Linked DNA regions of Stegostoma tigrinum. The protein of the gene in region 1 interacts with the protein of each later gene in a biochemical or structural test. Links are inferred from orthologs where the notes say so. Each region holds a gene or a part of one and is shown in the gene's direction. Other genes may lie near its edges. The genes, in order: ets2 and zmynd11.

Region 1 (7,216 bases):
GTTGAAAATGGCCCCACTGAAAGCAAAGGCAAGAAAGGTAATCAACAACTTTAATTAGCAGTTAAAAACATGGATAGGGCACTATCTTCAATCGTACTCCATGGAGAACATTGTGACTAACGAAGTTCTAAACACTAAATAAGGCCTAACAAAGTGTAGAGCTGGATGAACACAGCAGGCCAAGCAGCATGAGAGGAGCAGGAAAACTGATGTTTCGGGCCTAGATCCTTCTTCAGAAATTTCTAGGGGAATACGAACAAGGAAATTCTTATTCATATTTCATATTCTTCCTGCTCCTCTGACGTTACTTGGCCAACTGTGTTCATCCAGCTCTACACCTTGTTATCTCAGATTCTCCTGCATCTGCAGTTCCTACTCTCCTGAACCAAATAAGGACTGCTTGTCATGGCACACGGGAAGAGCTTAGCAAAATTATTGACTCGCTTCCCATGGGAAAAACTGATGCTATATGCCTGAAATCACCAAGTATGGGAAATTGGCACACCCATGGTAGTTGCATAAACTTCTTTGTGTCTGCTGGAGGGAGGGGGCAGTGCCCAGGATATATGTAATACAGAGATTGAGACCCCGAACAATTGCAACAACAAGTGGAATTATGGGAAAAATAATATAAAGGCAAAATACTGTAGTTGTTGGAAATCTGAAGCAAACTCAGAGAAACTCAAGAAACTGCAGAGGTTTGCTAACACCTAAGGAGACAGAAGCAGTGTCAATGGTTTGAGTTCAGCACTACTCCTCTTCAGAACTGGACTATCCATTCGATGAAGTTCAAATAAAGATGGTAGCGGTTGTGGGAGGCCAATCACCTCAGCTCCAGGATATCATTTTCTTTGTTGACTTTGGCTGCCAAAATATCTTGGCTGAACACATCTACTCTAAATCCTATCAGTGATAATGGGAACTGCAGATGCTGGAGAATCCAAGATAATAAAGTGTGGAGCTGGATGAACACAGCAGGCCAAGCAGCATCTCAGGAGCACAAAAGCTGACATTTCGGGCCTAGACCCTTCCAGAACGGGAAAATCTGCAAATGATGTGATCTTCTCAGGCTGCCAGCTTCAAGAGAAGTACTGTGTCTGCAGAACAATTATTTCAGTACAGCCACAACAATAATGTCTACCCAGCAATACGTAAAATTGCTCACATTTGTCTACAAAAAGCAAAATAAATCCAACCCAGCCAAATGATATTCCATCAGACTGCTCTCAAACTTCAGGAAAGTGATAGAAGGAATTGAAGACTGTGCAAACACTGTTTTTGTTCTTGTTCAGCAATATCTTGCTCACTGTCACTCAGTTTAGGTTCCACCAGGGCATATACAGTTACAGCATCAATCCAAACTGGAAGAGAAGAGCTGTAATATGAGAGTGAGCGCATTTCACACTGGGGCAAATTTTGACTGAAAATGGCTTCAAGGTGCCAAAGCAAAAATGATGTTAATGGAAATGAAGAGGGAAAATCTCCATTGGTTGGAGTTGTGATTGTTAAAGGTCAGTCATCTCAGCTCCAGGATATCACTGCAAGAGACCAAAGGACCATAAGATGTAGGAGCAGAATTAGACCATTTGGCCCACTGATTTGGCTCCATTCAATCATGGCTGAAATATTTCACAACCCCATTCATCTGCCTTCTGCGATGGGGAATGTCTCAGTGTAGTGTCCTATACAGAACTATCTTATGCTGCTTCTTCAATGACATTGTTTCCAGCATAAAATTGGGAGTGTAAATGTTTGCTGATTATTGCACAATGTTCAGCACATTTGTGACTCCTTAGGTACTGAAGCAGTCTATGTTCATAAGCAACAGGAACTGGACGGCTTGGGTTGATAAACTGCAAGAGACATTTGCACACATGGGTGCCAGTCCATGATTATCTCCATCTACACAGAATGTCTCCTTAACATTCCATAGCTAAACAATTGCTGAATGTCCCATTGTCAACATCCTGAAGAATGATCGAGATTTGAAGTGGAATGGTCATATAAACACTATGGCTAAAAGGCCAGATCAGAGGTTAGCAAGTCTGCAGTTGTTAAATCACTTTCTGTATCCCCAAGGTTTTTTCACTACTTACTAACATAAAGTTCAGGAGTGTGATGGAATATTTTCCATTTGCCTGGGTTGATGCAGCTCCAACAACACTCAAGAAGTCACTTCATGCTGAAAACTGCTCATGCATCACAACAGCTACAGCTGTTAAGGGACCTGAATGAGGGAGTGTGAAGCAACTGCAACCTGATTGAGAAGCCCACAATGTGATCCCAGCAGGCCTGTATCCTCAGCACATTGCTCGACAGTGCTGAGACCTAGACAACATATGATAGAAAGGAGAAAACGCTGAACAGTTCCCACCTTTTCCGTCTTGGATGTATACTTGCCATCTGTTGGCAGGGCATGGTTGCCAATCCAGCTGTTCTTGGGTATGCTAATTCAAAGACATAGACACCATTGCTAAGTCAGTGATATCTGAACTGGCTCGGCCATGTTCACCGATGGATGATGGATGTACACTTAAAAGTCCTCCTGTATGTTTTATTGATCAGTGGTCATAACCCTTTGAGCATCCATACCTTCATTGCTAATGAGATACGACTTTGGCTCTGTCAACTGGAGACGGGGACCATGGCCTCACAAAGTTGACTGTATGAAAAGACAGAAAGTTCAATTGGCCAAGAGTCATAGTTTTACAACATGGAAAGAGGTCCTTTGGCCAATTTGTGCTGGTCAAGCACCTATCTACTCCAGCCCATTTTACAGCAGTTAACCCATAGCCTTAGATGCTATGACACTTCAAGTGGTCCCTCTGATATGTCATAATAATTCCCACCTGTATTAATGAGTAACAGTTTCCCTCAGCCCTTTGGGTGAAAATCTTCCTTAAATATCCTTTAAACTTCTCCCAAGAAGGAAAGTTTCTTCCCATTTATGCCACTCATACTTTGCACATCTCAGTCAGATCCCCTCTCAGTTTTATCTGCCCTAAGGATTACAACCCCAGCCTATCTAAGTCTCTGCTAACTGCTGAAATGCACCAGCCTGGGCAATAACCTGGTGAACCTCCTGTCAAGTGCAATTACATCCATCCTACTGTGGGGATCAGAAATACATACAGCACTTCAGCTGTGGCCTACTGTCTTTTCCATCATAACCTCTCTGCCCAGAGACAACTGGGTTCACTGAATTATGTACCTCTTCAGTCCACAGCCTTTCTTTGCAGAACTTGGTCAGAAATCGCACCTCACCAGGTAATAGTCCAAAAGGTTTATCTGAAAACACAAACTTTCAGAGCCTTGGTCCTTCTTTGGGTGTTAGCAAGGCTCTGAAAGCTTGTTATTTCAAATAAACCTGCTGGACTATAATCTAGTGTCATTTAATTTCTGACCAAGTTTTGCAAAGAAAGGCTGCGAACTGAAGAGGTATATAATTCCCTGAACCCCAGATAACAAAGTGTAGAGTTGGATGAACGCAGCAGGCCAAGCAGCATCTTAGGAGCTAAGATGCTGCTTGGCCTGCTGTGTTCATCCAGCTCCACACTTTGTTATCTCAGATTCTCCAGCATCTGCAGTTCCCATTATCTCTCATTCACTGAACCCAGTTGTCTCTGGGCAGGGAGGTTATGATCGAAGAGACACTAGGCCACAGCTGAAGTGCTGTATGTATTTCTGACCTTGTCTATCCCAGTCCAACACCAGCACCTCCACATCATTGCAAAACCTGGGTCAAAGGCTGCTATGCCACAGTTCCTGAGGCTCCTGGGCATGGAAGGTGTCCTGCGTTGCATAATTAGATATATTTTAAATATCACTGTCAATCAAAATGTGCAGAGCTTATAATTCTATCAAAAAATGTCAATTTGTCTGCGGCGTTAGAAACGGACAGCTGATGCAGTCCTACAGGAAGCAGTATTTATCACTTAAGTAAAACAAAGAACTGCGAGTGCTAGAGATCTGAAACACAAATTTAAAATTGCTGGAGAAGCGGCAGCATCTGGCAATTGTCCGAAGGGTCACCGGACTCAAAAGCTATAACTTCGCTTTCTCTGCACGTCTGTCAGTTTCGCCGGCAATTTGTTTATCATTATTGGATACAAAACGGTGAATGGTCATGTGACTGTGCCGGGGGCGGGGGAAGAGTAGAGGGGAAGGGGTGGTTGCGAAGACAGCAGGAAAGGAAAGCAGCCTGATGAGTTAACCTTGTTTGGTGATGGTTCGCTTCTCGGCTCCTCCTCTCCCCCAGAGCAGGTCCAATGAAGAGGAAGTGGCGGGTTGAGAGAGATTGTGGGAATTGATGTAAAAGGCGAGGCTCCCAATATTCATTCAGCAGATTGCCCAAGAGTCTGACCTCAGGCGTATCGGACAGAGGAGCGGGGCGCTGGGAAACTTTACAGTGAAATTCCGCCGCCATAAACGACGCTTCGTGAATCACTATTTTATTGGATCGAACTCACTGATCGTGAGGCTTTGCTGGATTTTAACTGACCCGAGCCCGCGACACGCAAACATAACGCAGGAAGGGATTTATACTGTAAGTACGCAATTTAGGTCTTAGAGATTGTGCAGCTGTGACTGTGGGGCTGACCAAGCTTCAAATATTGTGAAAAGATTTGTTCTTTTCTCTCTCTGACATGAAGGAGACGGTTAGCTTGTTCCTGTTCACTAGTATTTTACAGTCTTTCTGTATTCTGGCCTAAAACAAAGTTTTGATATGCCCAGCCCCGTGCTGCTTGTATGTGGTGCTGCCGGCTGTTAAAAGCATCGCTTGTTACAATAGAACACAGTCGAGTCCAGGTTATCTAGGGCCTTGCTGCGGTGTCACAGAAGTCACGATGCTGTCCTCCATTCAGTACAACCAGCAAGTTGAGAATGCATGAAGACGAAAGATGCAAATAGCGAAGACTTGCGAGGGCACCCAAGGCCTGAGATGTACCATCTTCCCCAGGAGGCCACCCCAGCTGGGGTTGACTCTACAGCGGTGTGGTTTTGAACCTCCCGCTCAGAAAGCGATTCCGTTGAGTTGGAGAATAATGTGGAAAGTTTCAAGCGACAGGAATGTGAGCAATGTCTTCAGGATGGAAATCAATGGAAAAGCTCAGCAGGTCTGACAGCATTTGTGGAGAGAAGCCACAGTTAACTTTTCAGGTCCAGAGCTTATGTGTGGATTTTGGATGAGTGGACCTGTAGTTTGCTATAATACTGCACATTGTTTCACGGAAAATGCCACTGCCTGCAACCTTTGCAGTGGGTGCTACCAACAAGACAAACCTATAATTCCCTCATTTCTATTTATTTATATAAAAATACATCTAAACTGAGATCAAAGTAACATCGTTTTGAGACTTTATGGTCTTTGTGTAATATGTGGGTTGATCTATACACTTGTTATCAGTATCAGTAGGTGTGACAACAGGAAAAATGTCTGCATCTTAAATTAGATGACCTGTGAAAAGGTTTTGCAGGGATTGCAAAAGTGAAGTGAACAAAAGAATTAATTTGCATTTTTACAACCTCCTTCAGCATCCCAGGGTGCCCCAGGTACTTTACTCTCTTAAGTACTTTGGACATACTCAAAGCACTTTTTGAAGAGAATTTAAAGTAATGGGCATCTACAAACAATTAAATCAGTGATGGCTGAAAGGTGCATGTAAACCAAGGCAAATGAGGTACCCTTTTTTTTGTGCTCCTGAGATGCTGCTTGGCCTGCTGTGTTCATCCAGATTCACGCTTTGTTATCTTGGATTCTCCAGCATCTGCAGTTCCCATTATCTCTGATCACCCTTTTTTTAAAAATAGTTCCATAAGAATTTTACATTTACCCGAGAGAGCACTTTAGTATCTCAGCTGAAAGATTGCATCTCCAACACCATAGTACTTGTTTTGTTGCAGTGAAGCGTAAGGCTAGGTTATGAGCTCAGGTCTCTGAGTCGTAAATCTTTTGCTTTGAAAGGCAAAGACACTGCAGTACCACTCAGCTACAACAAGATTGTTGCTGTATTAGAGATAATGGAAACTGCAGATGCTGGAGAATCTGAGATAACAAAGTGTGGAGCTGGATGAACACAGCAGTTGCTGCCTTAGTACCTTGCCCAAAATCCAGAGTCACAACAGGTCTAAAAAATAAGTTTTCAATTTTTCTGTGTACTATGTTACCATTTTTTAAAAAGGTCTATTTTAAGCCATGAGCACTTTGCTGAGTCAAGAAGAAAGGATTACTTAAACCAGTTAGGTGCTACGCTTGCCCTAGCTGGAGAATTAAATGCCCCAGTGTCACTAATGCAGCAGCTAATTTTTTTGATTGATTTTACATCTTTTTTGAAGGTTTATTTTGTTTTGTAAACTTTAATCTGATAAATCCATCAAAGGAGTCAAGGGTGCTGGGTCCTGTAAAGTTTGTTAAAGAGTAAAGCTGTGAAACCTTCTTCTGAAGTCATCAAAGAAGTAGACTTTATAAGTAATTAAGAAACTTTTGCACCCTCCCTCCATCTACAATCTGCTATACTAGGTATTAATCAGAGTGATTGTTTGACAGAGGTTACCTTGACCGGGTGCTTGAATTGTGGGCATATCTATTAAATTTGTCACTGGCAATGAGCTTGCGATACTTTGGCCAGTGGAGTAGGAGCCATATAAATCTAATTAGTAACATGATTAACCTCAGCCATACTTGTTATCAGATAATGTATTCACTTCAAAAGCTGATTATGGAGTCTGAAGAGCAGGGCTGGTGAGATAAGGTGGTATCACTTTATATTGCTTATACCACAGATCTAAAAATTAATGGGGTACATCCTTAATACAGATTACACGTTAAATGTCAGATCTGAAATCTTGATATTTCCTTCCAATTTTTAATTAAACATTAAAAGCATAAATGTACAATATGTCAGTTTGTCTTCCCCCAAGCATGCATTCTCAAAGGATGGCTGGTTTAGTATTTGGCATCTTTCATGTTTGCTTCAGTCAACTAAAGTAATCAGTAAAATCCTGTTACATGTATAACAGTGAGGTGACCACTCCTGCCCTCCACATAACAGTTGTGTAATGCCTGCATGCACCTTTATATGACTGTGCTTTTAGGAAGTGCTGATTACCGTAAAATACTTCTGCTGAGAGGAGGAGAGGCACTGAAGCGAAGCAGTGAATTGAAAGATGAAATAAATGTGGAAGATGTTCCAGTGGAACACAAACGCTAACATGA
Region 2 (7,196 bases), on another chromosome or scaffold:
CAGCAACTTCAGTTATTGTTCCTGATTTACAGCATCTGCAGTTCTTTCAGTTTTTAACATGGAAGCCAATCTTCAGCCAGTGTGATTCACTCCAACACTTCGGCAAATTCTTGTGCTCCAGAACAAATTGCACCCCAAGCCAAAGCTGTTCCAGTGCAATTGCAACACTGGATTCAACCTACTAATGTGGAAAATTGAGATACTGGATCCAACAAACCGATGGGCTCCAGTGGTTCCCATAATTGCTATGCTGAAGAATTGTAATCAAGACCTAGCCAAGACATTTCTGTATAGCTACAGTTGAAAAAGTAAAAACTTGGCTAAGTTTGTACTCCCCAAAAAAATGACCAATCCATTCTGTCCAATTAGTGGCCCTATAGTCATCTCGGAATCTGCGGAGCCTGTCTGCCCACGAGGTACGATTCAGGAGTGTAATGTATTATTCCCACTTGCCTGGATGAGTGCCGCCCCAACACCACTCAAGAAGCTTGATACCATCCACGACAAAGCAACCTGCTTGATTGGCACCACGTCCATAAACATCTACTCCTTCCACCGTGACTCTCAGTAAAAGCAGTGCATATGGTCTACAAGATGCATTGCAGAAATTCACCAAAACTCCTCAAACAGCACCTTCCAAGCCAATGATCAATTCCAATTGCAAACTTTTAGATAATGAAACATTCCCAGTACTTGTCTGACTGTTTCATTCTCTACAATTCATCATCTATTATCATGGACATCCTCCCATTGCAAAGTTGTGTGGAAGACTGCCTAGCCAGAGAGATGAGAAGCCTAAGCCCTCAATAGACCCAACAGAGAGATGTTTTCAGGATCCTCAATGCAAGATATCTGTTTTAACCAAATTGGTGGTATAATGGACAGGGAACGTTATCCAAGATTACAAAGGTACATTGATCAATGGGGCTAAAGGGCTAAGGAGTGGCAGATGGCATTAAATTTGGTTAAATGCAAGGTGTTGCATTTTGGTAAAACAAATAAAGGCAGGACATACACAATAAATGGTAGAGCCCTGGATAATGTTGTCAAACATTGAGACCTACGGGGTTCAGGTAAGAAGTTCTTCAAAAGTTGTGTCACAGGTTGAAGGCAATTAGCATGCTTGCCTTCATTGCTCAGACCATTTAGTTAAAGGAGTCAGGGCATCATGCTGCAGTTGTACAGGACATTGGTGAGGCCACTTTAGGCGTACTGTGCATAGTTCTGGTTGCCCTGCTATAGGAAGGATTTTATTAAATTGGTGAGGGTTCGGAAAAGACTTACTAAGATGTTGCTGGGACTAGAGGGTTTGAGTTATAAAGAGAGACTGGATAGGCTGGGACTTCTTTCAGTGGAGTGCAGGAGGTTGAGGGATGACTCTATAAAGGTTTATAAAATCATGAGGAGCATAGATGAGGTGAATCCCAAAGGTCTTTTCCTTCAGATAGTAGAGTTCAAAGCAAGAGGGCGTATTTATTTAAGGGGAGAGGAGAGATTTGAGATGGACTTGAGGTACAACTTTTTCACACAGAGTATGGCTAGTATGAGGAATGATCTGCCAGAGGAAATAGTAGTTGTAGTTTCAGCTATAACATTTAAAAGACATTTGGACAGGTATATGAATAGAAAAGGTTTCAAGGGATATGGACCAAATGCAAGCGAGACGAGTTTAGTTTAGGAAATTTCATTGCTTGATGAGTTGGATCGAGGGTCTGTTTTTGTGCTGTATGACTCCAAAATATTTACATCTGGACTTGGAAACTACACCTGCTCTGACTCATCATAGCTCCAACAACTATCATCTAGGTTCTACTGCAGACCTGCCATAAAAAGAGATAATAGGAACTGCAGATGTTGGAGAATCTGAGATAACAAGGTGTGGAGCTGAATGAACACAGCAGGCCAAGCAGCCTGCTTCGAAGGTGCTGCTTGGCCTGCTGTGTTCAGCCAGCTCCACACCTTGCCATAAAAAAGGCCCTGATGGGATTAATAGCAATATGCAAATATTTAGATAGTATTTTGCTGGAATAGTGACACTGTCACTGAAGTTATAATTGCAGCATAATTCTCTAGAGATAGGGAGGTGAAAATAAGAGCGAGAGAAGGACAGTGAAGAGGAGGAGGAGAAGAAGGTGGTGTAATGAGCAAAAAGAGGGATCAGTCTGTTCAGTGATAGAGAGGGAACAATATGTTTACTGATGGAGAATGTTCAGTGTCATCAAGATGGACCGGGATCACTGTTTCTGGTGCTGGAGAGGTATCAGTGCATTTGGTGGTGGACAGTGATCAGTACATTTCGAAATCGAGCGTGATCAATGTGTGTGGTGGTGGAGAGGCATCAGTGCATTTGGTGATGGAGATGGATCATTATGTTTAGTAATGCAGAGGGATCAAAAGGGTACAGGGTAGTGGAGAATGAGGGAGGAGACGTGAAGGTGATGCTGGAGGATGAAGACTAGAGAGGGTGAAGGGTGGTTGATGGTGGAGATGAAGAAGAAAGAGAGAGGGTATTGATGGAGATATTTGAGGAGGTGAGCGGTGGTAGAGGAGGTTGAGGAGCAGAGAGGGTGATGATGGTGGAGACAGTGATGATGGTGAGGGAGGAGAGAGGGTCCTTGTGCCAGTGGAGGAGGAGGAGAGAGGGTAGTGTTGTAAGAAAAAGAATAAAGCATATAGTAGGAGCAGAGATGGTGGAGGAAGAGGAAGTGGGAGGGCGATGGTGACGGAGGAAGAAGAGAGAGGGTGCTGGTGAAGAGGAAACAACCTGATGGTAGAGGGGTCAAGGAAGTGACAGGGTGATGGTGGAGGAGGTTGAATGGAGAGTGGTGATGCTAGAGGGGGAGAAGGAGAGACAGAGTGATGGTGGAAGAGGTCAACGAGTGGAGAGGGTGATTGTGGAGGGAGGAGAGAGGGAGATGGTAGTGGAGGAGGAGGAGAGAGGGTGATGTGGTTGGGGGAATTAGAATTATAATAGGTTCATTGTCAAGTGTGATCAAGTACAGGAGCACAGTGAAATGTTTACAGTGTTGCCCCACATGGTGCCATCTTAGGTACTAAGTATCTGGGTGCAAATCTTAGGTACAAAATAGAGAGAGACATAAGAAGGTTACATTACCATACATTAAATCATAGTATAAGTTAGAAAAATAAGGACCAACACTAAAAAGATAAGCTGAAGTTTTTCTATAAAAGGCCTGCAGTAGATCAATGCAGGGAACTTCCACCTGTGACCTGACTGGTCTCACAAGCCGGCGATCACCCACGCTGGTTCCCCAGTCAAACATCTGTCCTTGATCTGGGCACATTGGTTGAGGAGGGGGATGAGCAGGGGAAGATTGTAGTGGTGGTGGTGGAGGAGAGAGGGTGATGTAGAGGGGTTTGAGGAGGAAAGGGTGATGGTGGAGGGTGAGGGGAGAGGGTAATGTGGAGAGGAGGAGGATGAGAGTGTGTGTTGTAGAGGGAGAGGAGAGTGTGAGATGAGGGTGGTAATGGAGGAGGAGAGAGTGGTGTGGAGGAAGAGAGTCAGGGGCTGCTTCTGGTCATGGTGGAGGATGAGAGTGAGGGATGAGCATGACAGTGGAGGAGGAGAGTGAAGGATGAGGGTGGCAGTGAAGGAGGAGAGTGAGGGATGAGGGCGGCAGTGAAGGAGGAGAGTGAGGGGATGGTGCTGGAGGTGGAGGAGGAGAGTGAGGGTGACAGTGGAGAAGAAGAGTGTGGGGTTGGTGCTAGAGGTGGAGGAGGAGAGTGAGGGATGAGGGTGAAAGTGGAGGAGGTGAGTGAATGGCAGGTGCTGGATGAGGAGAGTGAAGGATGAGGGGTGACAATGGAGGAGGAGAGTGAGGGATGAGGGTTAAAGTGGAGGAGGAGAGTGAGGGATAATGGTGAAAGTGGAGGAGGAGTGAGTGGCAGGTGCTGGAGGAGGAGAGTGAGGGATGAGTGTTGACAGTAGAGGAGGAGAGTGAGGGGTTGGTGCTGGAAGTGGAGGAGGAGAGTGAGGTTAGACATGGACAGGAGAAGCACAGTGAGGGATGAGGGTGTTGGGCGGAGGTTTGCCTGCTGCTATTCCGAGCTCTGCCGCTGAGGGGCGTGCGCGGACGGAGGGGCCCCTGTTGTTGATGTGGAGCCGAGTCCGAGGGGGAAGCGAGCGGAGCCCGATACTGACAGGCCCCGCCAGCACCGGGCACAGGGGCCGCGGGAGGAAAGGAACTCCACAGCGGCTCAGCTGCCGGGCGGATCGTCCGGAGATAACCGACCGGGAAGTGGCAGAGGTGAGCAGAACCGGGGTCCAGGATGGAGGGGGGACTCGGAGCCGGGGAGCTCGCTGTATGTGTTGGCGGGTGGGAAACCGGGAACATGGCGGCCCGTCTGCGCCCGGCTGTAGGGGAGGGTGGCCTCGCCTTTCGAGGAGTGAGGAGTTTGGCGGGGGGTGGGTTTACTCCCAAAGCCGGGGAGAGGCTGCAGGCGGTAGCTAGGCCGAGCCGGCCTTCCCCAGTGTGTCTCTGTCTTTGTTTTATTTATTTCACTTCAGACCCTGTGGCCGGGGTTTAATGTTCTCCTCCTCTTGCCGCTGCCGGACACACTTTTCTGTTCGAAGCCCGACTTGTCGGGAGACCAGTGTTTTTTTTATTGTTAGGGAAGATTGTCTCTCCACATCCCCCCCCACCCCCTCCTTCACCTTTTTAAAGGTGGCGATGGGTGGGAAAAGTCAGAAGAAAACCAGACCCCAGGGAACTATGACCATTAATAGGGTTTACGAACACTCTCTCTGGGCTCTGATGGATGGTTGCTCCTTGAACGTTAACCATCATAGTTTCGTAGAGCTGGCCCACCTTTAAATCAACAGTTTAGCCCTGGTGTCTGTATTCATTTGCACAGTCTGTGTGGCAAACGTTGTATTTCAAATTGACTGTTAACTTGTAACACCTTTTCTCACTTCAGTTTTTCCTAATGACTTGGAATGACTGGGGTGGCAATTGTGAAAGCCAGGGGGTCAGTCATTTTCTCTGTGGTCTTGTTTCTTTTTTTTGAGAAAAATCAATGGCCGACGTTGCACTTTTGATAAAGGCAAGTACACTTTAGGTTTTGTAAACGACTGGGAATTTTACAGCAGGCAGTTGATACGTACATATGTGTTTGAAAATCTGTAATGCTTTACATGTGTGACACATGCAGTGGTATTAAATAGTCTGTCAAGCGTGCATAGTATTCCAGAATTAAAATATAGCCTTTGGTTTCTGCTGTGCATTATGGCCTCATAAATTAAAAGGAATGTATCTTGCCTGTAGTTTGGAAGTCTAAGCTACTGTTTTACTTGTTGCTGGTATCTGATCCTGACTTGCATTGGCTTTTAAATCATACTTGTATATAGCAGTTGGTTGTCCCATAATTCTTTTATCTATCTTTACCCCCTCCTGTTTCTCATCTGCATGGTGCTGCTTTGCAGCATCGTCTATCAGGTTTCAAATGTACGTAGGCAGCACCCACCCCTTTCTCCCATGACTCCCCCATTTCTAGTACTGGCAGACTGTTAGTCTGGAGATGAGCAGCATGTAGTGGTCTTGCCAATGATGCTTACATCCCTTGAAAATATTTTAAGTCTGGGCTGAGTTGCACGTTTTTCTAACCTAACCTTAAAATGATCAATACCAGTTTTTATCCAACTACAAACTCTTTCCTTGTCACTGATTTCCTCCTCTTCCCTGGGTGTTTTCTCGGGCCGAAATATAGAACCTCGGCGACCATCTGATTTGAATCAAAGTTGAATTTGTAACTCCATGTCATGTCGATCCAAAACTGCCCCATTCTCTTTCTGATCCTGCCACGGCTGTTGTTACCCTTGCCTGTGCTTTAGTTACCTTCTGTTCTTGGCTTAGCCTACCCTCTTTTGTTTTCTAAAAGATTAAGCTCTCACACTCTATATTCTAGCCTGCAATACGTTCCATTTAATCAAGTAAGTTCTCTGTTTGTTGACCTATATTAGCTCCTAGTTCAGTAACTCCTCAATTTTAAAATTCTCATTCTCTTGTGAAATCCCTTCGGGAAGTAAAACCACCCCGACTTGATTGCAATCCTTCAGAAGCTCGGATTCCTCCAGTTCAGGATTCTGATACATATCCCACTGCTAGTGTGGCTTAACGGCTTGGTCTTCAGCTCTGAAAGTTCTTCCCCAAACCACCCTTCTTTCATCAAGGTTCCCTTTAACCTATCTTTCTAATCAACCTGCTGCTGTTGTTACACACCTCTGGAGCAGTTTAGACTTGAACCCAGGTTTCTTGCTTCAGGGGTAGGGGCACTACTGCTGTGGTGCGAGAGGGCTGCTTCCTGTGTTTTTTAAGTTTAGTCACCTGACCTGTTATCACCTCCTTTGGCGTGGTGTCAATTTTTGTCTGACTGCACTCCTGTGAAGCACTTGGGTTGTTTTCCTGTGTTAAGGGTGTTAGTTAAACAAAAGAAGTTGTTATTATGGATGAGTTTTGCACTCGCCCATTGCCTGACTTGAGTAAAGTATAATCCATTCATATTGAAATTAATAGTGTAATCTCCATCTGTCTCAAGTAGTGGCATTGTATTGACACCAAGTTATTTTATATGCAAGCAAGAGCTGCATACCAAGTGCCCCTGCTTTACCCATCTCACATGAAGTATTGTTGTCAGCCATTCTTGTGAGAGAATTGAGCAGATTCATCCATGCAAATGCACATAGATAAGCCTTTCATGAGAGGTGACCCTGCTGAGAGCATAGAGCGTAAAACAGGTGGTGCCACAAATCCATCATCTTGCATTGAATGTATGTTCACCTGAATTCAACACTTCGTAACCGCGTTCAGAATCATAGTCTTACAGTATAGATTTCTCCATTTCTAGTTATGATTGAGTTTGCTTCCTTGACTTTGCCATCAATATTGATAAGTGCACATATTTTAAAAATTCAGAAGATAATTCCTTATTTTAGCCATCTATTTTACGTGCTTAGGAATTGCAGGATGGGTAAAGATCAAGTCTTATCTAGTTCAGTTACTGTCATCTTCCTATTTGCAGGATAGAACAATTACTGACTGACCGCAGAGTAATCAGTCTTCCTTTCAAGTAGTCTTTGACTGGCCCCAACAAGGAAAACCCCAGTGCTGGAGAGCATTAAGAAATCATAACCTATTCCTCTCAGGCATGGTAGACATTTTGCATTCAACGTGTTCAGG

Evidence for each region.
Region 2: the proteins of ets2 (region 1) and zmynd11 form a complex in vitro, tested with the Homo sapiens proteins (2 studies listed by BioGRID). The link is inferred for Stegostoma tigrinum from reciprocal best matches to the Homo sapiens genes ETS2 and ZMYND11.

Annotation. Positions count from the first base shown.
Region 1 is NC_081365.1:18,484,376-18,491,591, forward strand, and holds the start of ets2 (protein C-ets-2), read left to right. Parts: upstream 1-4,186; 5' UTR 4,187-4,546; intron 4,547-7,216. UniProt on the Homo sapiens protein: Transcription factor activating transcription. Binds specifically the DNA GGAA/T core motif (Ets-binding site or EBS) in gene promoters and stimulates transcription.
Region 2 is NC_081355.1:137,701,940-137,709,135, reverse strand, and holds the start of zmynd11 (zinc finger MYND domain-containing protein 11), read left to right. Parts: upstream 1-4,152; 5' UTR 4,153-4,268; intron 4,269-7,196. UniProt on the Homo sapiens protein: Chromatin reader that specifically recognizes and binds histone H3.3 trimethylated at 'Lys-36' (H3.3K36me3) and regulates RNA polymerase II elongation. Does not bind other histone H3 subtypes (H3.1 or H3.2).